4 linked regions of the Drosophila melanogaster genome follow. The protein of the gene in region 3 interacts with the protein of the main gene of each other region in a pairwise test. Each region holds a gene or a part of one and is shown on either strand. Other genes may lie near its edges.

Region 1 (10,452 bases), on a different chromosome or scaffold from region 3:
TCCTCATCCTCATCATCATCATCATCATCGCCATCCTCCTCATCAGGACTGGCGTCTCTCTGTCAAATTGCTTAAATTTGGGGATGGATTTTTAGAGTGGGGCTGGTGGAATATTCGGCTCCATAAGTTGCGAGGCGGCAGCAACTTTTCGCGGGCTGTTAAATTGAAGCATAATTCCGACTGCAGTTGCAGCTGCTATGAAATATGGCCAAAGCCAACGCATGTGGCAAGCATATGAAATTCGCAACAGCGCTCCAGACAAACGAAGCCAAGCAAAAATGTTGTATTTATGCAAAAAGCGGAATGAAAAATATTTTTTTCACAGCCTTGACGTGCAACTGCGCCAAGACTCTCTGCCTGAGTTGTAAAATGAAAACGGACGGAGAACAGTACAAAACAGGAATAAAAAAAAAAAATAAAAAAACAAGGAAGGGAAAAAAATAAATAAGAGCAGCTCCGGAGAAGAAAAAGGCAAATTGCAATACATCAAATGAGTCGTGGCTATGGGGAGAAATGGGGGCTTAGTCGGGGTATGACAACTGCGACGGCTGCAGCCCTGACTTTATGATAAGAAACCAGAAAACAGACGAGCTCCGAGTGCCAGGAAAAGATGGGGCACGAAAATGCACAGCGTTTCCAGATAGATGATGCATTCAAACAAAGTGCCGCTTGGCAAATTTATGCTTAAAATCGCTGATGCATCACTGTTTCTGTTTAAAAGGGCTTGCCGAAACGTTGGGACCCAGTCAAGGACTACTCACATTTCACCCGCAGTGGCAACTGATTGCTGACCGTCTCGCCCTCGTCGTTTATAGCACTGCACGCATAGTTCCCGGCGTAGTGTTTCGTAATCTTCTGGAGTACCAGGCTCTGATTCGAGCGAATGACGCGGGCGGATGTATTGTGCTCCAGATGAATACCCTGAAATTAAATGGATACATAATTATGAACGAAAATTGTAAGAGATAGTTTATTGGTTAAATCAATAACATGGCGTCTCTCAAACACTTTACGATGCTTATAAATGGTCTCTAAATTGGGTTTCTATAGTATTTCCTAGATAAAATGATAGAACAAAGTAATTACCACTTTTGAACAATATCGTATAAGTCTGTTGTTAGAACTCCGAAATCTATAAGTCTATTAGCAAAACTGAACTAATACAACAATGGATTATTCAGCCATAGTGCTGCCCAGCAATAATCCGTTCTAAAGCCACTCGGGTTCGAATTTCAATTTGCCAAAATCCGCTAAGCGCGTCCGAAAGGCAAAAATTCCCCACACACTCGTGCAAAACACACTTCCTCCCAATGGAGAGGAAGTGGGTTGTTGGCCGTAGTTTGCGGACTGTGGAATGGGAACTTGGCCTGAGTGATTGCCAAGCGACTGCGGATTGCAGTTGAGCGACGGCAAAATCAATGCCGCAAATCCCAAAACTATTTTACCCAAAATGGCACCACCCCATCTACATACATCACACAACCCATACCGGGCCAAAGAAACCACTAGAATGGAAATGAGCAAATGCAGATCCATGCATCAGGACATCGTCGGCGGCCGCCACTGACGGAGGAGCAGCCACCTCAACGCATACGCAACCTGCCATGTTATTGGCACTTAACCAGAACCGAATGCAAGGAGCCAGCCAAGCAGACGCCTTTCAGGGATGCCACCCGGTGGCTGTGGATTGAGCCGGATCCGAATGGATGGGTCCCTGGGTCGGTATGACTGCCCGGCTCACTCCTGGCCAACTTGAACACACTGCGACCTACATTATGCAACCACAACAGTTTCCGCCATTGAGGATTCGATTGTACGTGACACTCGAAGTAAACATCGTCGCCTTCCTTGATATCATCCGGTGTCAAAGTTGAGCCCAAGCGTAACGTCACCAAGGGAGGATCTGCAAAGAGGAGCAAAGAAGGAAGACAATTAGCCACTGGAAATCCAATAATAACCTGAAATGGTAATCTAGAACTTAACTGCGAACGCGTGAATACACTTTCTATACTTTTTAGGTATAGACAAAAACTTTTTATCACACACTTTTTTTAAATAAATGACATGTTGTAGCAATCGTCCTTGAAACATTTTGTGAGCACTTCTATTTATTTCCTGCATAGGTCATGAGCCTTAGAAAATCCGAAATAAAATGTAAAAGGCCTATTAACTCAATGTCTTACAACCAAAATCTTTTCGATTATTCATGCCCCGAAGTTGTTGTGCCATACTTTTTCGAGCTTTGCAACTGTCTTGTCATCGCCCAGAATCCCGCACACTGTCATGATCAAGCTTATTTAATAGTTTTTGCAAATATGAGCGATTTAGAGCAATAACTGGAACAAAGTGAAGCATCAGCCAAGAGTTATGAGGACATGGCAACGACATCCCGCCCATCGACCGCTGTTTGCCAACATGTGTTGCCGCTTAAGTCGTTTGAATTTGCTTAACGAGCCACAAACTTTGCGACAAACAGAGACCAAAAGCGGCAAGAACCCGGACCCAGACAAGGAGACCTAGTACCAGAACTGGAACTGGGACCGGGACCAAGACCAAGACCACGAAGAGGACCTGGACCTGGGAAAGAAATAGGAGCAGGATCGGGAAAAAGGGGACGCACGTGCCAACCTTAATATTGTTGAGTTATTGGCGGCCAAAACCAAACGTCGACAGTCAAGAGTTGGGCAAAACGGAACCCAAGACCAGACCCAAAACCAAACACCAAGCCAAAGCCAAAAAGTTCCCTTCCGCCTTCGCCTGGAAACTTTAGAATGGCCTGGAAAACTTTTGCCCAGCAAGGGTGGCATTTCACCGCCGCCCACTTGTGTAGGCCCCTCGTTTCTCAGAGTCTGCCAATCAGGCAAAGTGCCCAAAGGGCTGTGAAAACTCTTTCGCTGGAAAAGTCGCGTCGCGCATTTCCGCACACATGTTGCAGGCCATTTTTGTGATTATCATTTACCGTTCCACCACGGATACCCTTGCCCCGCAATCTCCCGACAAACTCGTTTCTTTGGCCCAAAACGACCATCGATCGATGGCGGAGCGGAAGTTGCTCAGAATTTATGTGCCACCGTGGGCTGTTGTATTATGCCAACTGACACACGGGATTTGCCAGGGCTGCAAATATTAAAGATATTTTGGCAACGTAAGACATGAAACTTTTTCTACCATATTTAAATTGGTTGCAGCAATTCAATCAATTGAGCACTCATAAATTATAAGCACATTCTTTTGGGCCAATCCAATTATGCACATATTTTTTTGAATAATACTTGTATTAAAATTTGAAAATAAATACTAAGCAACTCTTTTATAACCTAAAAAAAATAAATTTGTTGCCAGCATTTATCGAGCTGGCATTGAGCTGCCCTCTTAATCAACTTAATAGGCTGTGCGAAATTAGGAAACACTATAGTCGCACGAAATAGCAAAATTTTACTCAGTCGATGAGATTGCTTTCGCCAGTACAAGTCGGCAGTTTTAATTATAAATCACAAAAAATTACAAACTAAAAAAAAAAAACAAGTTATCCAAATCTGTGATTGTGAATCCTGCAAAATGCCGTGTAAGAGAAGGACAACTAGTGCCCGACCAACAGCCAGAGCTCGAGAGATCGAAGAGGAGCAAGAGGTCCACGCCAAAATAAGGTCATATTCACGTTCCAGGGCGACAACATTGAAGGCATCAAGCGAGGCCATCAATCGCGACGTTTCACATCCAACCAGCAATAAGAAATGTGAAACCAATCTGAATTCCAAAAATGTTTCGCAAAAAGGACAAAAGTCACAGCTAATGACAGAAAGCGCTGGGAAATTTGATTCGGAGACAAAGAGAAAACGGCAGGCGACAGTCAGTGGTTCCAAGTCCCAACTTTTGGACGAGTTAGCGAGTGATTCAGATAATTATGTCAAGCAACTTCGAACGTTTTTGCGAAGTACGTCAAATACGGACGATGAACAAAAGAGGGATTCACCTGCACGGCAAAGCCGTTCTAGATCAAGACGCAGATGTACACAAAAAAATGAAAATCTCGATGAACCGGATCAAAATACAATTTTTAAAAAACCGGAAGTTTCTTCCAAAATAAATTTGGAAAAACATAACCAGAGGACTTCAACGGATAAAGAAAAGCAATATAAAGGTCAGAAACTAAATTCCTCCATTGAATCGATTTTGAATGTTTATGATGAGTTACCATCACATTCGGACAATCAAGCTTTAAACTTAAGCCAAAAACGTAATAATGCCTGGACTACGAAGTTGCCTGAGAGCAGTCCAAAAAATATACCGAAGAAGAATTTCGATTCAAAGTCTAGCGATTTAGAAGAGGCCGAAGAGAAAACATATTTAAAACGTCAGTCTGAGAGGAATTTTTATTCAGGTTACCGTTCGGAGTCTGAAGGGACAAATATCACGCCGGCTAAACGTTCTAAAGCTCAAATCAACTCAATACCTAAACTAGAGTACAGTACTACGTACGGCCAGGCTCAGAATTTAGTCGTGTCGGAAAACGCTAACATAACACAAAAGCCGAGTTCAGATATAAAATCGCGTTATCGTTCGACTGAGTATAATCAGATTAACAAGCCAGATTCTCAACAGCCCATCAACTATGCCCATCAGAAGGAAGAAACAATAGATAGGCGTCGTGAAATGCACATGAGAAAGGAACATCAATATGTAGATAATCACCTGAACAACCCGGCACAAAATAAGCCCGATCGTACTGTAAGTTTTTTAGAAATGCTCTCTCAGGCCGAAGCTAAAAAAGAAAGTAATCAAGGTGCTAAAAAGCCAACGGTTAATAAAGTTTCTAACGTTTCTCAATATCTAATCGATCTTGGCTTTACTGCCGGTAGCCCTAACCACGATAGCAATAGCAATGATGGTAACGATGAGCAAGACAATATTGATAGGCGCCTGAATGCTGATCTAGATTCTTTATTTACGACTGATGAGCTGGCATGTCCACCTCCACCTCCACTAGCAAAGATTCCAACAAATCTGACAGTTGAAAGACCACATTCTCGGCTATCGGATCCCAAGAAAATAGAATCTGATATAGATGCACGCCTCCAGGCGGAACTGGATTCTCTACCCATGGTAGCGGTACCAGCTGACGAGAATATAGAACCATTAGGTAAAACTGACCAACACTTTTCAGTACCTACAAACAAGAACTTGTCGGAGAACAAAGCTTTTCCGAAACCGAATCAGGTATGCATTCCTCCACAACCAGCTATTCCTCCACAACCAGCCATTCCTCCAGCACCAGCCTATTGTATGGCCAACAAAACCATGGATACAGGAATGTCTAGCGTTGTTCAGATGGCTAATAATCCGCTTGCTTCAACTCAGCATCACGCCTTGCCACAAGTGCCGATAGTCACGCGACTTAAGGTTGATCAGGGTGAGGATGTATCCGTCAAATTTACCACCGGTCTGGATGGACTAATTACCAATGTGCAATTGCTGCCATCAACGATGGCAATGGGTCAGCCAACAGTGAAGGCCACCGAATTAGAAAGCTTTACGGCCCAGCAACTGAATATGTTATTACAAAGTGGACATCCCTACCTGTCCTTGCCCATGACTAACTCTGGAGTTCCAGGTGCCGTGCTACAGGAAACGTTACAGACCAAAGATGCAGGATTTCCATCTGAACAAGCGGTCGAAGATGAGGAGGTTGACTATGAGGAAATAGGGGTGGCCGACACCTTTGCAGCTTACTGGCCCAGCAAACTGAAGTTTGGAAGAGCCCATCCCGATCCCGTGGTGGAAACGGCCACTCTGTCATCCGTTGAGCTGCCCAATATAAACTATCAGTTGGCCCTGCCCTCGAAGACCACCGAATGTTTGAGTGCCCTGCAGCTGGAGGCAGTGGTCTATGCCTGTCAGGCTCACGAGCAGATCCTGCCAAGCGGAGATCGCGCTGGATTTCTGCTGGGCGATGGGGCTGGTGTGGGCAAAGGCCGCACCATTGCCGGCATTATTTTCGATAACTACCTGAAAGGGCGGAAACGTGCCCTTTGGGTCTCGGTCTCCAGTGACCTCAAGTTCGATGCAGAGCGGGATCTAGCCGATATAGGAGCCCACGAAAAGATCCGTGTAGCGACAATCAACAAGTTTAAATACAGCCCCATTGATTCCGAAGAAAATGAAAATTTCAAGCGCGGCGTGATATTTTGCACTTACACAGCTTTAATTGGAGAATCAATGACGACCAACTCGAAGTACAAGACTCGTTTTCGCCAGTTGACCAATTGGCTGGGCAAAAAGTTCGAAGGAGTGATCGTCTTTGATGAGTGCCACAAGGCCAAGAACCTAAGCCTGATGAATGTGGGTAAGTCCACCAAGACGGGAACGACTGTTCTGGATCTACAGAAACTGTTGCCAAACGCCAGAGTGGTCTATGCTTCAGCCACGGGAGCAAGTGAGCCCCGGAATATGGCCTATATGGTGAGATTGGGCCTGTGGGGTCCAGGTACCGCCTATCCAGAATTCTACGAATTTGTTAACGCCGTGGAGAAGCGCGGCATAGGAGCCATGGAAATCGTTGCCATGGACATGAAGCTAAGAGGTACTTACATAGCACGTCAACTTAGCTTCAAGGATGTGAGTTTTCGCATCGAGGAGGTGAACATGTCGAAGGAATTTCGCAAGAGCTATAATTTGTCTGCCGAACTCTGGGCTGACATACACAAGAAGTTCCAGAAGGCGTGTCGCCTAATGTGCGTCGAGAATAGGGTGCAGAAGATTATAACCTGTCAGTTCTGGTGCGCCCATCAGCGTTTCTTCAAGAACCTGTGCATTGCCTCCAAAGTGAATCACGTGGTCAAGATGACGCGGCAGGCGACACGAATGGGAAAGGCGGTGGTCATTGGCCTTCAATCTACTGGGGAGTCGCGTACCCTGGAGCATCTAGAACGTCATCATGGAAAGCTTAACAGCTTTGTGTCCACCGCAAAGATGATCATTCAGTCGTTTGTGGAAAAGCACTTCCCAGCTCCTAAACGCGACTCGTTTCATCATTTACTAAATACGGGTGAGTTTGAGCCGGAGGCACGTTCCCGCCCACCCAAACAGAAGAAGTCAAAAATGAATACCGATTGGGTTGAAGATGATATGGATGCCGAGGCGGGCGAAAGCGACATCGAGATGTACGAGAGAAGCTGTACTGCGGCTGTTGAGAAGATTAAGTCTGGACAAAAGCGGCGAGGACGACCGCCCAAGGCGGACAAAGGTATGTTGATCTAAGTGGTTTATTTTGAATAAATATTAATCATTTTAATCCCTTAACCAGTGGAGAAGATTACCATGCAGGAGCGCATCCTGGAGCATCTTTGCAATAATATGAGGGAACAGGATAACGAAGATGAATCCACAAACACTTCCGACAATACCAAGGTAAAGGTAAACATCACGGAGCGTGATGTAGAACGCTGTATAAACATGCGTGAGATGCTGCTGGAGAAAATCGATGTTCTGGGCAGGAAGTTGCCGCCCAACACGCTCGACAAACTAATCTCTGAACTGGGTGGCACCAATTTGGTGGCCGAGATGACAGGCCGTCGTGGAAGAGTGGTGCGAACGGAGTACGATGGGTATAAGTATGAGCCACGTTGTGAAAACGACTCCACTATGGACCTGGTCAATTATCGGGAGAAGCAACGCTTCATGGATGGCAGCAAGCACGTGGCCATCATCTCGGAGGCGGCCTCCAGTGGAATATCTTTACAGAGTGACAAGAGGGTTTCTAATCAGCGGCGCCGTCTGCACATCACTTTGGAACTCCCATGGAGTGCAGATCGGGCCATACAGCAATTTGGGCGCACCCATCGCTCCAATCAGGTCAATGCACCGGAATATGTATTTGTGATCACCGATCTGGCTGGTGAGCGTCGATTTGCATCCACGGTGGCCAAGAGACTGGAGAGCTTAGGAGCCCTTACCCAAGGCGATCGTCGTGCCACCGATGCCCGTGATCTCTCCCAGTTCAATATCGATAATAGCATCGGGCGCAGTGCCCTTGAGAATGTGATGCAACAGCTGACCAGCAATAAACCACTGGACCGGTCTCAAGTGCCTCAATCGTATAAGGGAAACTTCATATACGATTGTTGCGTGGCAATGGCCGGCGTGGGTATGATCAATGTGCGGGAGGAGAACAAGGTCAAGGTGTTCACCGTGGAGAAGGATAGTAATAATATCTCAAAGTTTCTAAACCGCATCCTTGGATGCCGGGTGGAAGTGCAAAATGCACTTTTTAAATTCTTTCTGGACAAGATGTACTCACTGATCATGCAAATGAAGCGCACAGGACGCTTCGATTTGGGGATTTTAGATCTGGATGCCCATGGAGCAAGTGTAAAATCCATCAAGCTGATGAGGTTCATTAGGAAGCACGCCACAGGAACGGCGGCCACCGAACTTCATACGGTGACAGTGGAACGTGGTATGTCCTTTGAGACAGCCCTAGCCAAGTGAGTTGAAATTTATATGGGTTAAGTGTATTTAACTAACTTATAAACTCCCATAGATACCGAAAGGAGGGCCAATACGAGCACGAAGGCTTCTATATTCTACAAAAGCGGCGCCAAAACAAGAACTCCGCAATTTTATGCCTGCAGGCACCGTCCAATTCATCGGATGTATCAAACGGAAAGATCAATTTGCAAATCTACCGACCCAATACAGGTCCCCAAGTGCGATTGGAGACACATGCCTCCATTTCATCACGATATGTGAAGGTAAGCCCGGAGGAGGCCCAAACATACTGGGTGCAGCAGTACGAATTGTGCTTGAATATGTGCTCACACCTCTACTGGAATCGGACCTGTCCAATGCCGACGGGCTGTGAAGTAGGACTCCGAATGCGTACCTATCACGTGCTCTCCGGGTTAATGCTACCGATTTGGGACCGGATCGAACTCATTATCGTAAATAGCGGACACAAGATCCAGATCATACGCATGAAGACCGATGCAAACAAGAAGATAGTGGGTACGGTGGTACCGCCTGCCGTCTACGATGACCTGGTGGCCGATTTGTCCACGGATTCCCTCGTGGAGAGCCATTAAAATGACACCGCCCAGTGTACGGCGAAGCGCACAGCACTTCTATTGCCACTTTAAAAATATCAACCGAAATTGTAGCATTCAATGCAATACATGTGGCGTAAGCTTTCGCTTTTTCAAAATGCCAAGCACGCTCCACCAGCTCCACCCAGGAGGAGCAGCACGCCCATGTTCCCGGCAATAAACAATGGCCACAGAAGCACATACGGGAAGACACTTACAGCTCGTCTGCGTGCGTATGTGATTCATATGTATTGTCTGCTGCGCTGCGGAGTGAGCTTCGCATACACTAAAAAAAAAATAAAGCTACCCAAAAAAAAATCGTCTTGTTTTTTAATATATTGTATTATGTAAATTGCAAAGGTAATTGGAAGGGGTTGTCAATCACAGCCAGTAGAATGGCTTAAATTTAATTTAAATTAATAATTATGAATGAAATGAAACTTGTTACTTTATTTAACCGCAGTGCTCTTTCTTTTCCAATCCTGCGCTCTTTGGGGGATGTCTGTGATTGCATTCCATGTTTTGTCTTGTTGCCATTGCTAGGAGACCAACTAAGGCTGCCCCGCTCGGTTACATTATAAATTTTAAAACGACCCAGTCGCTTGCACCCTGCCACACATGCGAGATATAAACAAAATTATACAAAGGGGAGGGAAGGATTGTGGCGCATGAGATGGGCAACGCGTGGCATAAACCATGACCAAATGGCCTTGGCAAATGTCGTGCCTAAGGAGCCAAAACGCAGTTGGCATAATAACTCACGCGTGATGCAGATATCGTATTCCAACAGCACTGGCAACAACAACAAAGACATAAAGATGCCGAGGCATATAAATTCAGTTGTTATCTAAATAAGAACAAACTGTTATTTATCTGGCCATAAGGGTATGTAAGGATCTCTAATGAAGTTATAGCCAACAATATTTGCAAATTTCAGTTTTCCTAATCCTTTTTTTTTAAGTAAACCCATGTTATTGGTCTTGAATGATTGTAAGCTCTAATCTGATCATAATTTGATTTCTTTTCTGTAGGACATCAAAGTCTTAAATAAATAAGCAAGTTTAAAAGAACTTCGCAAGCCTGCCCCAACAGAAGAATTTTTTTAAAAACACAAACATTTGGGCGCACATTTATGTGTATGTGGCTACGTGCCGATCATAAAGTTTATTTGCGCCAACGTAGCAACAAACACAACACCGTAAGGACGGTACAAAGCACCGTCAATTGCTATAACGTGAGCAAAAACAAACAAATAAAAAATAATATTCTAAAACATAAAATATGAGCCTGCAAAGTATGTGTGGGGCATAAAAAATATAATCATATTACGCCTATACACACAGCCAAACGCAAAAACACACAAACGTACTTT
Region 2 (7,066 bases), about 18 Mb from region 3:
CGCCCAGTTCGCCAGCGGTGATGGGCACCAAGCGCAACCGGGTGCTCACCCGTCAGCCGAGGGTGAAGCGGGACAGTGACAGCATCTCGTCCACGAATCAGATATCCCCGGATACGGCTGCCACGACGCTCGACTTTGATCCATTCAATGCTGCGGGCGCCACGAGTGCCACGGCCAGAGATTACTCTACGACGGGCTCGCATCATCTGCACCATCAGTCAGCTGTGCACCACCATCATCACCTGCTAACCGTTCCACCGCGGATCGAGCGCCATGCCTCTGAACCGGCACCCAGTTTGGCCCCCTCCACGCCGCACCTGCTCAGCGTGCCGTCCAGCACTCCCTATCTCATCAAGCAGCACTCGGATCCGTTGCTGCCTCGCCAGTCCGCACTGCACATGGCCGGATCCGGTTCTGGATCCAGTTCCGCGATGGCAACTGGCAGCAATCCGTTTGCCCCGCTGCACCGCCAATACTCGCATCCGTTGTCGGGTTCAAATGCCAGCTATGTCACTCCGGCGCCGCTTCACCATCCGCACCACATCTCACTGCCCGAGTCCATCTACGCCTCGGGGTCTCCGCCGCCGGCCGGCTCCTCGCAATACCTGGTGCCCACGCGCGTAGTGGCCTGTCCAGTGGTTTCTAGTGAAACGGCGGCAACGCCCACTAATGCCAGTCCCGGCTCCTCGTCGACAGTGTCGGCGGCCGTGTCTGTGGTTACCTCACCCAATGCGGGGCTACAGAACAGCGCCAGTAGGCATCCGTTGTCGCCCACTTTCTCCATTGGATCTGATGTGGCACACGAGCGAAGGTCTCCGCACTCTCCCTCCATCAGCAGATCGCAAGTCGTGGAGCGGGCGGGGAAGAATCCAGCAGAGGCCGCCAACGGAGGCGGTTCGAGGCTGCGGACTTCCAAGTCTGCCTCGGGCTCCATCACTGGCACCCATCTGCATCCCGGCCAGGCCACCATGAGCAGTTCGTTTGAGCATTTGCCCACGCTGCGTGTCAAGAACGAGGAACTGCAGCGATCGGTGTCTTCACCTCAGGTGAGTTGGATGTGTACCCGACCGAAAGATCACTCACACTGACTTACCTTTGTTGCAGACCCAACGGGAGATCATCACTCTCGAGAATCCGCGTTCTAGTCATTGTCCGGTCATTCGACCGGGTCCGGCGCTGGGCTGCAACTTCTGTTGGAACACCATCGACGGGCATGGACGCATTTTGCGCCGCAAAACGAAATACCATTGCCCGGAGTGCCAGACGAATTTGTGCATTGTGCCCTGTTTCCAGGAGTATCACGAGCGGCTGAACAACGAGGCGGCCGCTGCATCCAGTGGAGCGGCAGCGGGCGATAATCAGCTGAGCAGCAGCACGACGGGATCGGGGAGCAGCAGCAGTGGCAAGGCATCGCCGTACGTCTCCTCTGCCGGCAGTAGCAGCAGTGGAGCGGGTGCAGCTCGTCATTATACCAAGACGGAATCGATATAATCTGGAGCTGCCGTGACCAAGCCCGCATATTTGTATTTGTGACAGGACGGCCGCCGAAAGGTTGACCTCCATCAGACTAGAAGCCACGCATTGCTCGTCCTTCATTCTGGAACATGGTCCACACATGGCCGTCTGTCGAATTTGTTTTTTTGTCAGCAGGAAGCGCGAAAAACGCGCGCTCACGAACTGCACCCAAATTTTCATTTGTTGTCCCAGTCCCACTGTGCATCCGGCCCGGAGTCCGGGCACATGGACTGCGAGAGAGGGCGCCAGGTGGCGCCAGAGAATTGTTTTTTGAGCCGTGCCCAGATGCACGCTGCCATTGTAAAGTAACGAAAATCTTTTGGAACACCGTCGGAATGCGGGGTGAAAACTTTTTTAAATCGCTAAATGTAATAATATGTTTATGTGTGTGTATCTATGTACTATATGTGTATGTTCTTGTACAAAAAAAAAACCGAACTAAAATCTAACAAAAATAAAACGTTGACGACGGTGCAGCTCGAAGCTCGAATTACGATAAGGTTTTCACCAAGTACAACTATCACTACCACTACCCCAATCCGCTCCGGCCTAAACTTAAGTACGTCCTTGCACCTGTACTTTCGCCGGGCACCGCTGCGCAGGCGCACGAATTGTCTAGTGGCCCACACTTGTTTTACTTAACGTTTTATATCTATGTATGTATGTACGTATATGCACATGGCCCTCGAGGAGGTTTTCGGATGTGCTAGATCCGGCGAATTCGTTTAATTCTCAGTGTAAACTACCATGTATGTAAACAATACGGAAATCAATAAATACTTGTGACCCTCTGGTTTGATACGAATTGCGTTTTCATGTGGAAGTAGTTTAGGAACGAGCCAAGAAAGCTAAATAGCTAAGTAGACCGTCGTTTCCATTATGTTTAAACATCTCATAGTGATCACGTTTTATTGATCTAATTACCATTTAACAAACCGACTTCGGATTACTTCTTGGCTGGAGCCTGTGGCGGAACTACCTCGGCGGGGGGATTAGCGTTGCGGAAGTTGGGGAACTGTTCCCAAGGCGCCGACAAGTCAAACTTCCTGAACTCCTGGGCCAACTCCAAGGGCTCGCAGACGACTCGCTTCTTCTCATCATCGTAGCGCAGCTCTACGTAGCCGGACAGCGGGAAGTCGCGGCGCTGGGGATGTCCCTCAAAACCGTAATCGGTCAGGATGCGGCGCAAGTCGGGATGGTTGGCAAAGAACACGCCGTACATGTCCCAGATCTCACGTTCGTACCAGTTGGCCGCCTTATGCACCTCGCAGGCGGAGTCCAGAGGAGTCAGCTCATCGGTGTAGGTCTTAACGCGGATGCGCGAATTGTAGCGCAGCGAGAGCAAATTGTAGACCACCTCGAATCGGTTCTTGCGACAGGGCACATCCACGCCGGCAATGTCAACCAGGTTGGTAAACTGCGCCTGATGATGATCCTTAAGGAACTGCAGCACGGGCACCACGCCCTCTGGCGCAATAAGCACCTCCAGCTCATCGCCGGCGGTCAGCTGCACCTTCTGCACGTACTTGGGCAGGCACTCGGCCACATAGCGCCCGAAATCGGAGAGATGCGAGCGAGCGACTGCGTCCGGCTGGCGGACAGTGGCTGTGGGTGGAATGTCTTACATGTAATTGACACCGCGATAAAGTCGACTTTTACCTACGCTTATCCGCCTTCTTAGGCTCCACTGGCGTTGTACTGGCCATCCGAAGAGCAGTGGATCCAGCAGCGGGCACCACTGATTGTTGAAGGGTTAGAATAGATCAGTTGAAGCTCTAGAGGCAAGGCATTTACCAACCATGTTTGGCCGACAGAGCGGCGACTGCGGCACGGGCACCCAGATTCCTGATTAAGGCCGCCATTCTACAAACTGTTCAATATAAATTCAACAATTTGCTCCGTTTTTGACAATTTATGTAATGCTAAAATGTCAATATAGTTGTTGGAGCCTAGGGTTGTCAGTGCGCCAAATTAATCTACTCGACAGCCCTACTTCGGTATTTTGACAATTTCGGTACAACACAAATACCGCACATACATTATTGTATTTCGTGTACGTTAACACCGAATTATTCTTCATTAAAAACCTCAACATTTTTTTGGAATATTTGCTTAAATGATTTATATAAAAAATAAATATACCCTACTACTTGATTTATTATTTAATTAAAAATACCAACACGTTCCTTGAAGTACAGCAGATGGAAAACATTTACAATTATTCTTCATTACCAACCACAAAACTTTTCTAGAATATTTGGTTAAATGATTTTTAAAAAAAAGAAATGTACCCTACTACTTCATTTATTATTTCATTAAAAATACCAACACGTTCCTTGAAGTACATCTCATGGAAAACATACCGAAATACCGAGATCTTAGGTGCATTCGACTACCCTGGCTGAAAACTGTGACAACGCGTTGCGTTTGGAATTGCGAGAATTGAAAACTTCTTGGAAATCAATTGGAAATCAAAACACAACAAGATGGTAAGTGAAACGCGTCCTCCCAAATCCCCGGGATAAGTGAAATTTAAATCTACAATCGTCGCCGTTTGCAGAATCATCTTAAGTGGATGGGCCACTCATCCACGATAATGGACATCCAGCGCTCGCTGCGTAATGATAATCAGCACTGCGAGGTGGTGCTGGCCTCCAGGGACGGCGTTCGAGTGCGCGCCCATCTATTCGTGCTAAGCACTTGCAGCGAACTGATGCGCAACCTCCTGGTGGACGTTCCGCGCGGCCAGGAGGCAACCATAATGCTGCCCGACATCCGCGGAGATTTGCTGGAGTGCATGCTGTCCTTCATTTACATGGGCGAGACTAGCCTGCCCTCCGCGTCGCTCCCCGAGTTCCTGGAGGCCATTAACCTCCTCGGCATCAAATCTGCCATCAGCTTTGAGTGCAATCCATCGGCTAGTCCACCCAGTGTCGATGTAGAGAACCATTCGTTAGCCGTGGAGTCGGCCAAGTCCATTACAGGACTCCAAATCGCTGAGGCCGAGCTGCTGGACGACGAGGAAGAGCCACATCCGATGGTCTCCGTCCCAGCCACTACACTCGCGGGTTCTCAACACCAGCCCAGCCATTCCAGTCGGTCATTGGAGTACATTGATGTCTACGAGCCGCCGAAGATCACCTACTCCATCGAGCACATGGACGGAAGTTCCAGCGGCAACCAATTTATACTCACCGAGAACACGGGCACTTTCACCATAACGCAGTCAGCATCGAGTTTGTCCAAAATTGAGGCAGATGAAACGGGTACCAGTGGCGCTGAAGTGGACCTGGGCGATGATGACGTGGATGCGGACCTTGCTGAGGATTCTGAGGAGCACGAATCACAAATGATCGACGAGGAGTTCGCGCAAGCCGATCCTCTTATGGAACTAGAAGCTGGTACTGAAATGGACGACGATGACGACGTGCACGACCAACTTGTGGACGAGGAAATAGACGATAAGCCCCGCAAGTTGGGCGGGGGAAAGACGCGAATCCGTCGCCCCATAAGTGCGAAGGCTGTCAAACGATTGTCCGATTGCAAGCCAACGCGAATCCAGCAGTTCGCAGCTCTGAAACGTGAGGTAAAAGACGATATCAACGATGCTTTGGATCTGGCGGCCGACGCGGTTATCATCGAGGGCTTAAGCCTACAAAAGGCCGCCGACCGGTTTGATATCTCCAAGACAGTCCTCTGGAGACGCGTGCGCACTAATCCCGCCTACATGCGAAACAATCGGGAACGACCATCCCTGCAAGAGGCCTACGAGCGACTGAAGAATGGACATTCTTTAAAGAGCATCAGCAGTGAGTTGCAAATCCCCATGTCCACGTTGCACAGACACAAGGTTCGTCTGTCCGCCCAGGGACGCCTGCCCAACTTCGTGTCCTGCCGAAAGCGCGACAATACGCCCAAGGATGAGCTGCGCGACAAATTAGCCAAGGCGGTGCATGCCTGCCTGAATGAGGGAATGTCCCAAAACCACGCGGCCAACCTCTTCGAGATCCCCAAGAGCACGCTCTGGAGACACCTGCAGCGACGCACGACGAGCCAGAATAAAAAGGTCAAGAAGGAATTGAAGGCCAATTACGGAGACGATATGCTAAACTAGAAATAAGCCTTCGGAGTTCTGGTTTTACAAACGTTCAGCTGGAATCAATAAGTTACCATTAAGAAGCCATAAGCATAGGGTTTAACTTCATGTTGTCCCATCAGTGTATGTACATCAACCATATCCTATCTCCTGATGAAACCAAAATTGAGTCCGGAAGAGCAGCAAGAGATGCTATTCTAGAGGTAGTTTTGTAGACTTAGTTCTATATGTAGATACCATTACCATTTTAACTGCTGCTCTTTTATTGTTCACTCCATCGTAATTGGTTAATTAAATACAACCAAAAATTAACAAAAACTTCTTTTTAAATGGGTCAAATTTATAACATGAGAGAAATATGTACATGCATGTAATTAAAATGCCGGTACTCTTCTCCAGCAAGGGTATAAAAATATCGATATTTTCGCTGGTTTTTCACATCCCTATCGCAATCTTTTCCCGGAATGAAGAGTCCAAATCGGTGGTGTAGTGATGTCAAGGTTACCAGACCGATCCCTGCTCACCCGCTGCGAAATTTTCGTCTACTTCGGGGTCTATATAGCGTATATAGTTGTGGGCCTGTACAAGATCTATGGGCTGCGGGATCACATAGTCAAGGAGGCAAAGTTCCAGTTTCCGGAGGGCTGGAGTTTGTATCCTTTTTCCCAGCGGCGTCGGGATGACAGCAACGATGAGCTGGAGAACTTTGGAGACTTTATCGTCAGCTTTTGGCCCTTTTACTTGCTGCACGTGGCTGTCCAAGGATTCATACGCTGGAAACGTCCCCGCCTTCAGTGTCTGGGATTCATCGGCGTCTGTGCCTTGGCTCTTAGTGTAAACCTGGACTGGTCATCGATGGTACTACTAGTCACATTGATAGCCAGCTACTACATCGTTTCCCTGCTCTCACTAAAATTTCTCGTGTGGCTTTTGTCCGCTGGCTGGATACTGTGCATCAATGTGATGCAAAAGAATGTCTGGTGGACAGATCGCGTTGGTTACACGGAATACGTCCTGGTGATTGTCACAATGTCCTGGAGTGTGCTTCGCGGATGCAGTTATTCCCTGTCCAAGATTGGAGCTAAGCAGGAGGATCTTACGAGATACAGCCTCGTCCAGTATCTGGGCTACGCCATGTACTTTCCCTGTCTGACCTATGGGCCGATCATTAGCTACCAGAGGTTCGCAGCCCGGAGGGAGGATGAAGTGCAAAACTGGCTGGGATTCGTCGGAGGAGTCCTGCGCAGCGCCATATGGTGGTTGGTGATGCAGTGCGCCCTCCACTATTTCTATATACACTACATGTCGCGGGATGTGCGAATGGTGGAGATGATGGACTCGGTGTTTTGGCAGCACTCCGCCGGCTATTTCATGGGCCAGTTCTTTTTCCTGTACTACGTGGTGACATACGGCTTGGGAATAGCTTTTGCTGTGCAGGATGGCATCCCAGCGCCC
Region 3 (8,265 bases):
AAGTATATAAGTGGATATGTACGATTGTTAGGCATCTCATTAGAGAAATTAAACATTTTTATTCATATCTTTATTTTATGTTTCACAACCTTTTCTGCGAGTGCATTCAAATACCAAACCGACAATTGCTAACCCTTCGCTTGCTTCAACAGACCCAAGCGGCGCTTTGGCACGCGCAGCAGCGCCCATTTGGCGGGAAGTGTGGCCACTGCTGCTCCCCCCTGCGCCACGCCCACCGCCCTGCCCAAATCAATCTCGGCCAGCGGAAGCGGAAGCATCGGCGGGGTCACCGCGACAGGCAACGATGGCGCCAGCATCGACGGACGGAGTCTGGAGTACGCGGCCACCATTGCTGTGCCCGCCCAGCAGCCCACGCAACTTCTTCAGCAGCAACAGAAGAAGAACATATCCCTGAACTCCCTGCCCAATGTGGTCGAGGGCGTGGCCATGGACAGCCGCAGGATTAGGAACGGCTGTGGCGTAATGGGAGGAGCAGGTGGCACCGGAGGTGGGGGAACGGGCCCATGCGGCATGTCCACCGTGTCCTCTCCCACCGCCATGATGTCGGCTCCTCTGGAAGTCCAGCTGCGACCCAGGAACGGAGCCTGCAGCATTCAAAACCTGGCGGAGGCCATCGACGGCAAGGGTCTGATCATTGAGGATGAGTCCACCACCGACTGGATACCCGAGATTCCGTTCAAGAACGTAAGGTCACTTACTTTAATGCTTAAACAAAAATTTCACATATAATATCTTGGCGACCGTAGCTTAACAGTCCCGAAGATGGATTAAATCGTGCCGACTCCATACTGGTTGATACGAAGGAGGATCATAGAGTCTCGGTGGCGGTTTTGGATGAGGAGGTAAGTGGAGTCAACTAGCAGTCCCCCGCTTCTACAATACAACCCGATTCCTCGAAATCCAGATCGACGAGTTCATCGAGCAGAACATTCAAATCAATTCGAATAAGGAAATCCGACGCGAGTACCTTAATCCCTGGACCCTCAAGTTCAAGGACAAGAGCCAGGAGCAGAAGTTCTGTCAGTTGCGGGAGGATATGTTCCGGTGCGTGTGCAGGCCTGTTAATGGAAAACCAACAAAGGCCAGGACTCTCTTAATTAATGAACTATTGCTAATTGATTTCTCCCCCCCCCCCCCTGCCATTTTGTACCGACCCCATCTACTCCATTCAGATCCAATATGCTGTGTGTGTTTGTCATCTGGATATTTATGGTGCTGTGCCAGGTCATCATCATTCCACGCTGCACGCGTCTCATTATTTGTCTCTCCGTGGGCACGGTAATTCTAACTTTTTGTTGCGTCCTGGTCATGGCCGAGGAGTTTCCAGGTGAGCATGAATACAATTGAATCAAAGCATTATGAAAAACATAAAACTACTCAAGTTCAGTACCTCAGGTCTAAATACTCCACCATTACTCCCTAGGTTTACCCCGCTGCCTGAAGACGAACTCTGCGAAATTGGTACACCAACGGCAGCGTCGCACTCTATTCATTTGCGGCGTCATCGTGTCCATGTGCATGCTGAGTGCCATAGGACTGGTCCTGTGCCCTTCTTCCACCTACATAGGCACCGCCGACGAGCACTCACGATTCCTGCGAATGGTTTCGCCATACAGCAACATCTCCATGACGGAGAAGGAGTTCAAGCTGAATGTCTATCTGTCTGCCACCATCCATCACAATATCACAATTAGCACTCCGGCCAGTGGAGGGCCCACTCCCCTGGTGGATATTACAAGTAGTGGTCCCTCCGACGAGTTCGTGAGGAGCACGCTCAACGCCCTCACTTTGAATTTGACTCCTCCACTACCGCAGTCCCATCGGCCCTATACACTGACCACAAATGGACACAGTGTTTCTCTCAGTAACCTCAGCTATTCAGATGCTTCGGTGATGCAAAGTTCCTCGGATGTTGAGGGGCAGTGCGCCCATCCGGAGTACTTGGTGTTCACCTGGGTGCTCTGCCTGGTGTCCTTGGCCACCGCATTGAAGCTGTACTACCTGGTCAAGGCCCTGATGGCCTTGGCCATGGTGGCATTCTACACCACGCTGATCATGATGAAGTTCGGGTCCGGCGATAGCTTCAGTTTGGTGGAGCTCTCCAGACTGGGCATGCCGCTTGGAGTCCAAATGCTGATACTGCTAATATCCTTCCTGGTGATGGTCTGCTACCATGCTAGATTGGTGGAGGTAAGAGAAGGTGCGACCAATGCTTTCGACCCATCACTCATTCCGATTTCCCCAGGTAACCTCGCGTCTGGACTTCATATGGAAGGAACAAGCCGAGCGTGAACTGACCAACATGAAATCCAATCGCGCGCTTAATGACACATTAATTAAGGTAAGATATTTGGTCAAATACACAGGGCCAAAAAAGGGGATAATAACCATGAAATAGGAAGGGGAAAATGTAACCCAATTCTATTTTGGTCTACCTGCTCCTTCCTCTGCATTTTTCATTAATTAAACCATTTGATTGCAGAACATTCTGCCGGACCATGTAGCCACCTATTACCTATCCGACGAGCACACGGACGAGCTCTACTCCAAGATGCACAATCTCTGCGGCGTGATGTTCGCCTCCATTCCGAACTTCCAGGACTTTTACTCCGAGGACATCGACAATGGCAAGGCCTGTATACGTATTCTCAATGAGATTATCTGTGAGTTGATTGATTAAGCATTGTCTCCCGGTTGCAAATGTCTAATGATGCCGCACGGCACAAATCAAACCAGGTGACTTTGATGAATTGCTGGAGGAGCCACGATTCGCATCGGTGGAGAAAATCAAAACAGTGGGTGCCACGTATATGGCGGCAGCGGGATTAAATCACGAGCATCTCAGACTTCGCGGCGAGACCTCCGAGGATAGTGTCTGCGACCTGGTGGAGTTCGCATTTGCCATGAAGCAAAAGCTGGAGGAGATCAATGGGGATGCCTTCAATAACTTCCAGCTGCGTGTGGGCATCTGCAGTGGTCCTTTGGTAAGTGGAGTGATTGGAGCCAGGAAACCGGTCTACGATATCTGGGGCAATACGGTCAATGTGGCATCACGAATGGACTCCACGGGCGAGAACTGGCGAGTTCAGGTTCCGGAGAATACGGCGGAATTGCTTTGCTCCAGGGGTTACACGTGTGTGGTAAGTGGGTCTTTTGTTACCTATCCCGAATTCTTATACGTTTTTTCAAAATCCCACAGAAACGTGGTGAAATCGCTGTGAAGGGCAAGGGCATGATGACCACCTTTTATGTGCATCCCAAGGGAATATCGGAGAGCCAGCTGATCTCACCGGTTCGCATGCCAGCCGGGATTCCCCTGGCCCAAACCCCGAATCTTCAGCGGCAGACCTCCCATCATGGATCCTTCAGTGCCGTGGTTTTCGGAATGCTTCAGGCTAGCAAACGCAGCACAGCCATTGCCGGAACACGTAAGTGTTCCTTTCGGGTAACTTAAAATTCTTATAACATTAATTTGATTCTAATGCTTAAGCCACGGGCACTCCTTCGCCGCAAATCCGTCGAGGACATCGGGGAAGCACGTTCAGCTCGGTCCGGTTATCCCAAAAGTCCACCACGGTCAATCCTGTGCGCCGGAATACAACCCGTGTTCGGGGACGTTCATATCGACAGAAAAAGGTACAATACGTAGTGTTTCAAAAATTATTATATATCAAATAGTATTTAAGTTGTTCATATGATTCTGTTTAATTAGAAAGAGTATTTTCTAGAACCTATCTTATATAATGATATATTTTTCCTATTCAATATTTTAGAGTTCCTCCAACAACTCGATCGTCACGCAGGCCAGCTCTAGCTATATGCCCTCGTTCCGACGGATCGACCAGATCGAGACGACGATATCGAAGAGCCACAACGATGCGTTATAGCCGAGTACGCGCACTCACTGGGTCTAAGTCGATCTCAAGGCGATAGAGTGTCTGATGAATTTATTTTTGGAACGATTTTATACAAATGGAGTTACGCCGGCATATGTTTCAAAGTTTGGCTTAACACTGAAATGAAATGGTGGAGAACGACACTGAAGCTACTTAGTAGAATTTTTAAATCACCATACTTGAAGTTGCAAGAATTACATTTATCTCAGCACAATTCTAGTCGTTAAACTTAAGAACTGTCGTTTATATGTGTGCGTTTCAAATCTGTTTAGAGTAAGATATTTGGATCTTCCCACAAAAGCCAACCATACGAAATGCCAATGAACCTACTAGCTTCGTTCAATTCAACCATAATGTGTACCAACTAGTTTTCTAGTACTAATAGTCAATTTAACAGCCAGTAATCAATTAGAAAACCAAATATTAGTTGTACAAACCGTTTCTTTTGATCAAAGAGCGGAAATGTAAATAAAGTAAGCATACTTATGTATAAAATATTTTACGACCATCTAAATGTAATGAGGTCAAGTGTTACTGAAATGTGAAATGGATTTTGGCAAATAAAAGGTGTATTACTATACAGCCAGCACTTATTTAGCACTTTAATTGTAATTATACAATTCGTTATAAATAAATGTGATAAGCAAAACTAACAAATGGTAGAACTTAATGGTTTTTGGAATATACGTCAAGTTATCATTCAAATGAATTATAAACAGTCGTTTTCTTAACTATTGTATGACACTTTCTTTTTTTAGTGGCCCATTATAACAAAAACTCGAATGTGGAATGTATTTAATAGTGTAGGATTTGTTATGTAATGAACGTGGATTAATAATTTGTTAAGACGGTTAACTAAATATATAAATCATAAATAACCATTAGTTGAGATACGGTCACACTTTGGCGCCAAACCAATACAACAGTTGCCATTCGATTTTAGCTATAGCAGCTGGCAGCACTGCCAATAAGTGCCAGCGATACATGCTTGCTGTTATCGATCAAATATAGAGTAGGAAGCCAATCGATTTTACCAGCGCCATAATCGATGATGGCATCGATGTTTCACCACCACTAGTCGAAACACATGCGGTGCTGCGGAAAAGTGTGATTATTAATTGGATTTCGACGTTTTGAAGGCAGCGGATCGCCAAATTTTGAGTAACGTGAATCCACAGGAGTGGCGGTGAATGCCCATTAACCAGCGGACCTGACCAGAGATGACGAGCGGTACGGTAGCAACGGCGGTGGAGGTGCAGCTGCCGCTCAAGGTCGTTCGCCGTAAAATCGAGCGCGTTGGCTTCGCTTACTTTGCGCAACGGCGCCAATTTCTAGCTCCCGGCGGCGTGGAGCGCAGCGAAAGCGATGAGAAATTGGAGGGCGTGGGCGAGGAGGTGGACATCAGCTACCTAAAGTCGCTGGATCCTAAGGAGTGGAAGGACCAGGATCATTACGCCGTTCTTGGCTTGGGCAAGCTCCGGTTAGTGCGACGGCAGCACGTGGTGTTCTTCCCATGTGTTCGTTTCTATCAATATTTAATGGGACTTCCCCAACTAATACTGTATTGTCTGACTAAATCACCCTTTAGATACGAGGCCAGCGAGGATGATGTTCGACGGGCTTACAGGCGCATGGTTCTGCTGCACCATCCCGATAAGCGGAAAGCCAAGGGCGAGGAAGTCATCCAGGACGATGATTACTTCACATGCATAACCAAAGCTTACGAGATACTGGGTGGGTGTCAAGAAAATGTCCTTGCTGATCCTTGGGTGTCCTTCGGACTTCGCATTGCCCATGCAAATCGACAGATAAGAATATTTTGATATTAATTTTCAGAGCATTTGCTTAAGCTATATAAAATTATGATACCATACAATCCTGTTGAGTATAATAATCAATTAAGATTTTAAATTATCTGAAACTAATTTATACTCGATCTAATTCATTGGTGTGCTGTTGCCTTTGTCTAAGCGCGCAGAACTTGAAGCTTTATTTTTGCATATCTAAAAATAGGACTAGTTGTTTGCTCTCACATTCTTTTAAACAAAATGCCAAATTATAACTTACTATTATACAACAGAATTTTTTTGGCTTTAAACACTTTGAATAATTGTAAACAATTGTACGAAATAGACAGGAAGATTTTAAACTATTTCCTCTTAAACCATCTAATACTCCATCTTGTATTCCAGGCACATCCAAGCCGCGCCGCAGCTTTGACTCAGTGGATCCCGAGTTTGACGACTCGCTGCCCTCACAGAACGACATCGATAACGACTACTTTGGCGTATTTAACAAATTTTTCACACTTAACGGGCGCTGGAGCGAAAAGCCGCATGTTCCCTCCTTCGGGCAGGTGGACGCCAAACGCGAAGAGGTGGAGCGCTTCTACAACTTCTGGTACGATTTTAAGTCATGGCGGGAATTCAGCTACTTGGACGAAGAGGACAAGGAGAAGGGCCAGGACCGCGACGAACGTCGCTGGATCGAAAAGGAGAACAGGGCGGCTCGAATCAAGCGCAAGAAGGAGGAAATGTCTCGTATCCGGTCGCTCGTCGATTTAGCCTACAACAATGATAAGCGCATTCAGCGCTTCAAGCAGGAGGAAAAGGATCGCAAGGCTGCTGCCAAGCGAGCCAAGATGGACGCCGCCCAGGCCCAGAAGGCAGAAGCTGATCGTGCCATCCGTGAAGCGGCTTTGGCCAAGGAGAAGGCTGAAAAGGCCGAGCAGAAACGCATCGAGCAGATCCGCATCGAACGCGAGCAGCAGAAAAAGCTGCTTAAGAAGGAGCGCAAAACGCTGCGCGACAAGGTCAAGGACTGCAAGTATTATGCCAAGAACGACAAGGATCAGCTGAAGCACATGGAGGGCACCGAGAAGATTTGCGAGACCTTCAATCTGGCAGAGCTGCAAGCTCTAAATAAGGCAATGGAAAGCAAGGGCCGTGAGTCGTTTGTTGCTGCCCTTCAAACGGCCGAGCAGAAGATAGCTGCCGAGTTGGAGGAGATTAACCAGACACAGGCCAAGAAGCTTGCCAGCTCAGCGGCCACGCCAAAAGGCGTTAAGGAGGTCAAGAAGAATGAGCTCTGGAGCAATGAGAACGTGCAGTTGCTTATCAAGGCGGTTAATCTGTTTCCCGCTGGCACTGCACAGCGTTGGGATGTCATAGCCACTTTCATTAACCAGCATAGCCCGGATAACACTGTTCTGGTCAATGCCAGGGATGTGCTCAACAAAGCCAAGGCGCTCCAGAACACAGATCACTCGAAGAGCTCCCTGAAGACTCAAGCCAACGATGCGGCATTTGCCAGTTTCGAGAAGTCCAAGAAAGATGTTCAGACGTGTAAGGATATAACCCTGGGCGAGGAGACGGCCCAGGCGAGCAAGGAGAACTTGAAACAAAACGGTGTAGATCATAAGGCGAACAATCAGTCAACCAAGCAGAATGGCACGGCTCCAGCTCCAGCAAACCCCACGGCTGCACCAGCCCCAGTTCCGGCCACAAATGGGTCTACGGGCGGCGGTGCTGCCTCCAAAACCTGGACCAAGGAGGAGCAAGCCCTGCTCGAACAGGCCATTAAAACCTATCCAACGACGACACCCGATCGCTGGGATTGCATCGCCGCCTGCATACCGAATCGCAGTAAAAAGGACTGCTTACGTCGCGTCAAAGAGCTGGTCGAGCTGGTTAACTCCAAGAAGGAGGCACAGGCGGCGGTCAAATGAGTGCGGCTCCTGCTCCACTTTACCTGCCTCTCGTCCGCCTCATCCACTTCTAGCTGCTGTGTCCCATATAAATTTTATTTAAATAAAACATAAAAAGTTTTTGAACGTTTAGCGAAAAGTTACATCCAAAGATTCTCCATTTTGACTAGCTAGTTTCCAACGGTATATGCAGATCAACAAATATAATCTGTGCGGGAGGGTAATCTGCTCAGGTCTGCTCGGCCACACTGCGTCCGCCGCTCAGTTTTAAATCGAAGGCTTGCGGATTGGCTAAGGGATCCAAGTCGGCGAAAAGATCCAGCCAGGGATTGTTGGTGGTCTGCGATTTGCTGGGAACCGGGGTGGCGCCACCTGCACTTGCCTTCGAGTCCGTGGCTACTTGGCTCGGTATGGGTTGCTGATTCTGCTGGCTAAACAAGCGGGACCATAGCTTGTTAGTGCTATTTTGGGCAGGTATATCTTCATCCAGCGGCGCATCTATTAGAGGACTGTCCTCCAGCTGCTTGGAAAGCTCAATAAGCAAGGATTCATTGTCGCCGCAGGCATTGGGAGGTGCACTTGGTTTGTCCTCTTCGGACTCCTTGATTTCCGGCTGGGTTTCCAGCTTGTCCTGGTACTCGT
Region 4 (6,298 bases), on a different chromosome or scaffold from region 3:
ATGGTTTGGCTGCGAATTTCATTCCAACTCAGCTTACAATTAAATGAAATTAACATAAATAACATAGTAAATTGGCTAGGATTACAGTTCGGTGTGCTTGGGCTTGTTGAACAATCTCTCGCACAGTTTGGCCAAAATCTGGGACACCTCCAGTCGGTACTCGTCCGTGCTGTTGGCATACCGATTGCGAACGGTTAATAGTGCATGCCTGAGACCGGAACTTTGCGACCACGTGCTGGTGCACATATCTTCGGTGGTCTCCAATGCGGTGGCAAACTGTTCCACCACCTCCGGTTGCTCTAGGAGGAGCAGGAACTCCTTGGTTAGCACAGTGTCCACCGCCGCGCAGTAGCCCGGCGTTTTCAGCCACGACTCGAAGTCCAAGAGCACATATTGCGCCATTGTGGATGAGGCTTCGGGATCATCTTTGCTGACATCCAGCACTGACCGCTTCTCCAGCACTAGGTCGCTTATGAGAGTCACTACCTTCGCCTTGCTCCGCAGCTCCACATCCGGACTCTGGAGCACCTTGATCAGAGCCTGTGTACCCGAGGTGGAAAGCACTCGCTGCTGGGCTAGCGGAAATTTCCGCAACAAGGCTCCAAAGGCGTGCAATGCAGCGGAGATCTCACCGACATTTCCGGAACTGGTCAGAATCTGAGCCAGATGAGACCCGAAATTCTTTTCGAACACCTTGATCTGGGCCTTGGGATTGTTGCTCGCCAGCGAGCCCAACACACGCATGGCCGACACTCTCAGGGATGTACTGGTATCGTTCACAACAATGGGCAGTAGTACATCATCCAATCCCCCATTATCAATGAACATCAAGGCATTGTCTATCTGATGGAGCAAATACTCCAGATTTTCCAGGCAGTCCAGCTTGGAGCGCATCTCTGACTCTAGCGGCGTTCTGCTGAAGTTCCGAAACTGATCGATTAACTGGACGATCAGTTCTCCGTCGGTGCGAAAGTTCTTCTGGAACTCTTTGTACGCTTTGCGTAGCTCGGCATAGCTCTTCTTCTGCTCCTTGACCCGCCGTATAGACTCCTCGATTATGTCCGGTTTATAGTCCAGAGCCAGGGGTTCGTTGTCATCGTGAGATTCCCGAGCATTCTGATCATCCGGTTGACTCTGCAGCGACGTGCCACGTTCGCTTTCGTCTAAGAGTTTGGCTTCCTTGAGCCCCGTTTGTAGGTTGATGCGCACGTGCAGGCCCCTTGGAATAGCTTGACCTGGAAATATAGAGTGCTCACTTAGTACACGTCATCCGAGAGTTAGCCTGGCTAGCCATTAACCTTCCGCAATCGTCTGCCATTCGTCGGTGGCCACGAAATCGTTGGTTTTGTTATCCGTTTCCGTTGCCGCTGCCACTTGTAAGCATCCCAGGATCAGGACACTGCCCAGAAGGATGACTACCTGCTTGCCACTCATACTGCTTCAGCTTGTCTTGCCTCCAGAATGTATTCAGTCTTTATTTCACCTGGTTTTAAGTAAGTTTCGTGAGAGTTTTTAAATCAGATTTCAGACTTCTGATGTGGATGTGGTTAATAGTATGACCGTAGGGAGCTGCATTGATTATACCGCATGTGGCGATATGTTCCGTGGAGAGCCAGTCGATTCGGAACCAGTCAAAGGCGGTTACAATTCAATTTCAAATTTGAAAATATTTGTAATCAATAAATTCGTTATAAACAATAGAATATATTAAAGTATTGAAAAAGTGTAAACTATATGTATGCTTTATAATCTTTCTTTATATTTATTAGATTGTGCTGTTGGACATTCCAAGCCAAATCTTATATAAATAAGTAATACAAAAATTAAGTAAAAATTTTTATGGTTAATTTTTGCTCTTAGTCCGGAATAGTTGGAAACTTTAAATGATTTCAAACATTATTTCGCTAACAAATTAATTTTTATCCCTAACGAACACAAATATTAATATTTTTAAACCTTAGTTTGTTGTGAAAAACAAGCATTGCTAGAAATTTCCAGACTTGAAATTAATATTTAAGAACCAGAAAAAGTTAATGCCATTCAGAACGATTAAACCACATCAAACCAGAATGCCACCAAAAATTCCCAAACTCATCGTGAATTCATTAAAAATTGAAAAGTAACCGCCATTCATAAGCTTTCCACTTCGTTACAACGTAGCTAAACTAGTTATAAACTAAACGTATTTACTGAGTTTACAAAGAAAAACGAAATCATGTTTACGCGCAGATGAATCAACCAACTCAAAATTGAAATGCCAAATTATTTGCAGGCAAGCCCGACGTAATAAAATAAAAGCGTGTTTGCATATATTACCATATTTCGCCCCCGAAAATCCGTTGTAATCTCGATGTCTACGACAGCGTCTAGGAATTGGCTGCGCAAACACATCAAAGTGGACAAAAGTGAAATATTTGGACTCACCTGGCGCCAATTGGATGGGTAAATAAACAGAATGCCGGTTTCATGCCAATCACACACCAAATATACATATACATATGTATATATGTAGTATATGCTAATTGCTGATGACGAACGCCAGGAGCCTTTAACTAGAATTTGCCAAATTAAATTCACTCGGCCCGTTCCGAACGTCGCCTGTCCAATAGTTTTGAAAGTGAAGCCACCTCGCCGAGCAACTTTTATCCGTCGATCCATCCATTATCGATTATCGATGCCGTTGGAACCTGTTTGATGTCGTCCAAAATGCCCGACTATGTCTAATTGGTTTATGTCGGAATTGAGTTGTGTTGGCCACAAAAAGATTTATCTTCGTACATATGTCCAAAACGGAAATTTCATAGTTGGGAGCCTTGGGATGCATTCTTCCTTCTGGTCGGAATACAATTTCATAACTTAAGTGATTTTTATCGTGGATCCTTAACCATGACCTATTCATTATCATTCCCTTTCAGATTGCCTGGCCATTTAGCACACTTAGGAATTCCCCCAGAGGTAGGTTCCCAATTCCAAGTGCTGATCTCAAAGCAAATATGGGATGAATAATATCATAAGCCAATAAGTACGAATTGATATTTGCACTTTATTAAAAGTGTGAACAAAGCGCGGATTCCATTTCACGGAGTTTGAATCTATAAAAAGTACACAAGATGCCGAAATATAGTGCAAATTATATATGTATAATTAAATTATATATATATATAATGCATTGCAGGATAAGTGGAAATATATTGGTTAATTGCTTGAAAACTGACTGGATTGAGCATTAAAATTTTGAGTTTCGCTGCCTTTTGTGCGCGTTGCCATTGTTATTGTTTATTGTTATTTGTTGCTGCATGCTAATAATATTAATTAATAATAATGCTGCTGCCAATTCTGGTTAGGGGTAGCTGCGATAAAGATAAAGACTGCGATGTCTATGATGATGAGGAGAATCCATAACACGAAGCGAAAGAGATATACACATACGAATAAATAAAAAAAAAATATAAATAAAAATAGCCAGCAATCAGACAGACAACAACAACAGCAGCAGCAGCAACAACAAGAAAAACAAGGGCCAAGACGCGACAAGTCAGGAATGAATAAACTATGAAGTGTACTGGTTGTTGTTGGCCACATTTGTTGCCGCTCCATCGTTCTGGCCGATCAGAAATTTTATAAATGCCGCCGTCTGTCCAGAGCCGATTTACAGTTTGCCATTGAACCTGGTCGGGCATTCGCCAAATCGTCGAGCGGTTGAATTTCGGGGCGCTTGAATTTCGTACGTAACTAGATCCATATCCAGAATGATGCTGCTCCAGCTGGGCTGCGTGGCCCTCTTCTGCTGCTTGGTTAGCGGTGCCTCGAATTTCCGTGAGTCCTTTGGCCAACAATCCCAGTGCTTCGCTAATCGCCAGCTTATCCTTGCAGCTCCCGAACTGCCGCGCTGCCACATGGGCGACACCAGCTGCATCATCAACGTGTCGCACATGCTGATCAGACAGCACGCGAGGACCGGCTATCCGTCCGCTGGATTCCCCCAGGTGGAGCCCTTCCTGATCAAGCGCTTCGACATCTCCGACGGACGCACTGGCTCCCTGAATCTAAAGCTCAACTTCAGGGACGTGAATGTGGAGGGCCTGTCCAGTGTGAAGTTCGACAGAGCCGTGTAAGTAGCAAGTGAAATGAAAAGTGATTTCCTTCTTAAGCAAAAGTGAAGAAGTTCTCATGTTTATTAACAGAAGAAGATATATTAAGTTGATTGCACTTATCCATCATAATCGTATTTTTCAGTGGCTTTGGCGCTGATCCTGCAACCAGCAAGTTTGAGATGTACGGATCCTTTCCCAAGATCGTGCTGAAGGGCAAGTACGTGGCGGATGGACGCATCCTGATCCTGCCGATTCGTGGCGATGGCGATGCCGAGATCGTGTTGCACAATCCCAAGTTTTCGGTGAAATTCAAGCCGGGCACACAGCAGCGCAATGGACGCACCTACCTGAGCGTGGATAAGCTCAAGGTTCTGGTGGAGCCACAAAAGTAGGTGCAGTTCGGATTTTAGCTGAGATATACTAACATATTTGTGTTCCCACAGGATGAACATTCGGCTGGAGAACCTCTTTAATGGCGACCAGGCATTGGGCACCAATCTGAATCAGTTCCTCAACGACAACTGGACGGAGGTGTGGAACGAGCTGCATCCCTCCATTCATGTGGCCATCGCCGAGATCATGAAGAGCGTTCTCTCGCAGCTCTTCAAGCGCTTCGCCTACGAGGATTTATTCCTCGAGAACTGAGCACTAGTCGTCCTAGTCGCCATCAGGCGCCCTAGGACTTTAGGCTAAGTGTACGAGTATTTCCTCACCTATCCAAGCTATTCTCACTCACATGGGGCGTTGCATTCCGGCATTCCGGCCATTGACACATCATCATCGTATCATCGTATCTGCTAAGCTAAGCTTTAACTTGTAGAATAAACAAAAACATTCGAAAAAAAACTGGTTCTGCTTCTGCGGGGGGCCATTGTTAGCTAAAACGTGGATCTCACTATTTCCGCACAAGTGTCGCATACACTTTTTGTTTCATTTTTGGCCAGCAATCAGCAATCAACAGGCAGCTCACGTGATGGAACGATTGATTCGAAATTTGCATGACAAAGGCATTATTGCTAAGGTGACTATACTTGTGGATAAAAGCGTAGTTATACATACGCTTAAAGTATTAAAACATCCAACAAATTGAAATAAACACCTTAATTATTATGAGCAAATACTTTGTGTCTTAAAAAAGACGAAGATGCATGCTCCTACTACTACTCCTACATCCTGTGCAACTAATTTAGCCCAAAGTGCACTAAAATTAGTATATGATATGATGATATGATATATGACTAAGATCTGCTTGTCTTAGAATCAAGAACTAACTAAATGGCAGTGCTATTAATCTGAACACAACTGTGCTGTCACTCATTGCGAACTCATTTCACTGTCCAAGTTCAAGAGTAGCCAACGGTATAGCTGCCATCCCGATCCCAGGGAATCGGACACCCAGTTGGCCTTGGGTCAGTGAAAATCTTCCACGAGCGAGCAATCAACTGCAGCGATTCCGAGCGAAACAAGTTGCTTTTGTTCTCCACGGGGGCTGGACTTTAAAGCGGGACACTTGGTCATTAAGTTAACCCAAAGTCTAGGACCTGTTCCGAGCTACTACTCCACCGCTACTCCTCCACTGCCCTTCACTTCGATTCGCAAGAACTAAAGCCAACTAAAGAACTGGTGGTCACGATGACTGCGTTGTTTTCGCATCTCAATTCGGCTATATTTGGAACTGGCCCTTTTGTGAGTTGCACACTTGCCAGTTAACTTTGTTAAGGGAGAACTTAATACCATGACTTTTAATTGGACATAATCTGTCTGATACTTAAATTCATTGAGCGGATTTTCGATGTAACTGATTGATGAAGATTAAGGTGAATAAGAAGATTTGCTACATGATCTACTTGCTGTCTAAAGTGCACCCAAATGAGGTGATAAACTAAGGCTTGTATTGAAATTAGAACAACGTTTTCTTACCTAATACCATCAGATGATTCAGTTGCTATTCGTTATTAGTTGATGATTCTGAAACGAGCTCTGGAATTGACAGACAGACGGTTACGGCACAGATAAGAGCTATATCAAAGGTTGCCATTAGACGTTATTTGAGTTGCACTTAGTGGACCACTATAAATACTAGGCGAAAATCCCGTTCGTATTCAGTAACTTAAAGTTATAGACGTGTTAGCATGTTCGCAATCGCATTCGCAGTGGTTTTGTGCCTTTTGGTCTCGGTGGATGCCAAATTCCGTAAGAGAAAG

The links.
Region 1: the proteins of CG10565 (region 3) and CG3491 interact in a two-hybrid assay, tested with the Drosophila melanogaster proteins (one large-scale study listed by BioGRID).
Region 2: the proteins of CG10565 (region 3) and CG15812 interact in a two-hybrid assay, tested with the Drosophila melanogaster proteins (one large-scale study listed by BioGRID).
Region 4: the proteins of CG10565 (region 3) and Jhbp7 interact in a two-hybrid assay, tested with the Drosophila melanogaster proteins (one large-scale study listed by BioGRID).

Annotation. Positions count from the first base shown.
Region 1 is NT_033779.5:14,921,177-14,931,628, forward strand, and holds CG3491 (uncharacterized protein), read left to right. Parts: upstream 1-3,413; 5' UTR 3,414-3,558; coding exon 3,559-7,243; intron 7,244-7,303; coding exon 7,304-8,483; intron 8,484-8,539; coding exon 8,540-9,080; 3' UTR 9,081-9,389; downstream 9,390-10,452. Other genes in the region: side-II (sidestep II), read right to left, coding at 762-921, 1,773-1,903.
Region 2 is NT_037436.4:3,156,096-3,163,161, forward strand, and holds CG15812 (uncharacterized protein), read left to right. Parts: upstream 1-3,895; 5' UTR 3,896-4,001; coding exon 4,002-4,004; intron 4,005-4,011; exon of another isoform or gene 4,012-4,075; coding exon 4,076-5,629; 3' UTR 5,630-5,924; downstream 5,925-7,066. Other genes in the region: BtbVII (BTB-protein-VII), read left to right, coding at 1-1,046, 1,105-1,491; ND-30 (NADH dehydrogenase (ubiquinone) 30 kDa subunit), read right to left, coding at 2,462-3,120, 3,179-3,253, 3,314-3,377; rasp, read left to right, coding at 6,104-7,066.
Region 3 is NT_037436.4:21,132,750-21,141,014, reverse strand, and holds CG10565 (uncharacterized protein), read left to right. Parts: upstream 1-4,661; 5' UTR 4,662-5,137; coding exon 5,138-5,397; intron 5,398-5,505; coding exon 5,506-5,651; intron 5,652-6,109; coding exon 6,110-7,644; 3' UTR 7,645-7,765; downstream 7,766-8,265. Other genes in the region: Ac78C (adenylyl cyclase 78C), read left to right, coding at 153-705, 768-863, 926-1,065, 1,194-1,348, 1,445-2,211, 2,267-2,362, 2,504-2,684, 2,758-3,161 and 3 more; ICA69 (islet cell autoantigen 69 kDa), read right to left, coding at 7,853-8,265.
Region 4 is NT_033777.3:25,233,964-25,240,261, forward strand, and holds Jhbp7 (juvenile hormone binding protein 7), read left to right. Parts: upstream 1-3,650; 5' UTR 3,651-3,749; coding exon 3,750-3,816; intron 3,817-3,873; coding exon 3,874-4,111; intron 4,112-4,236; coding exon 4,237-4,482; intron 4,483-4,537; coding exon 4,538-4,739; 3' UTR 4,740-4,932; downstream 4,933-6,298. Other genes in the region: Sil1 nucleotide exchange factor, read right to left, coding at 82-1,235, 1,299-1,434; to (takeout), read left to right, coding at 6,227-6,287.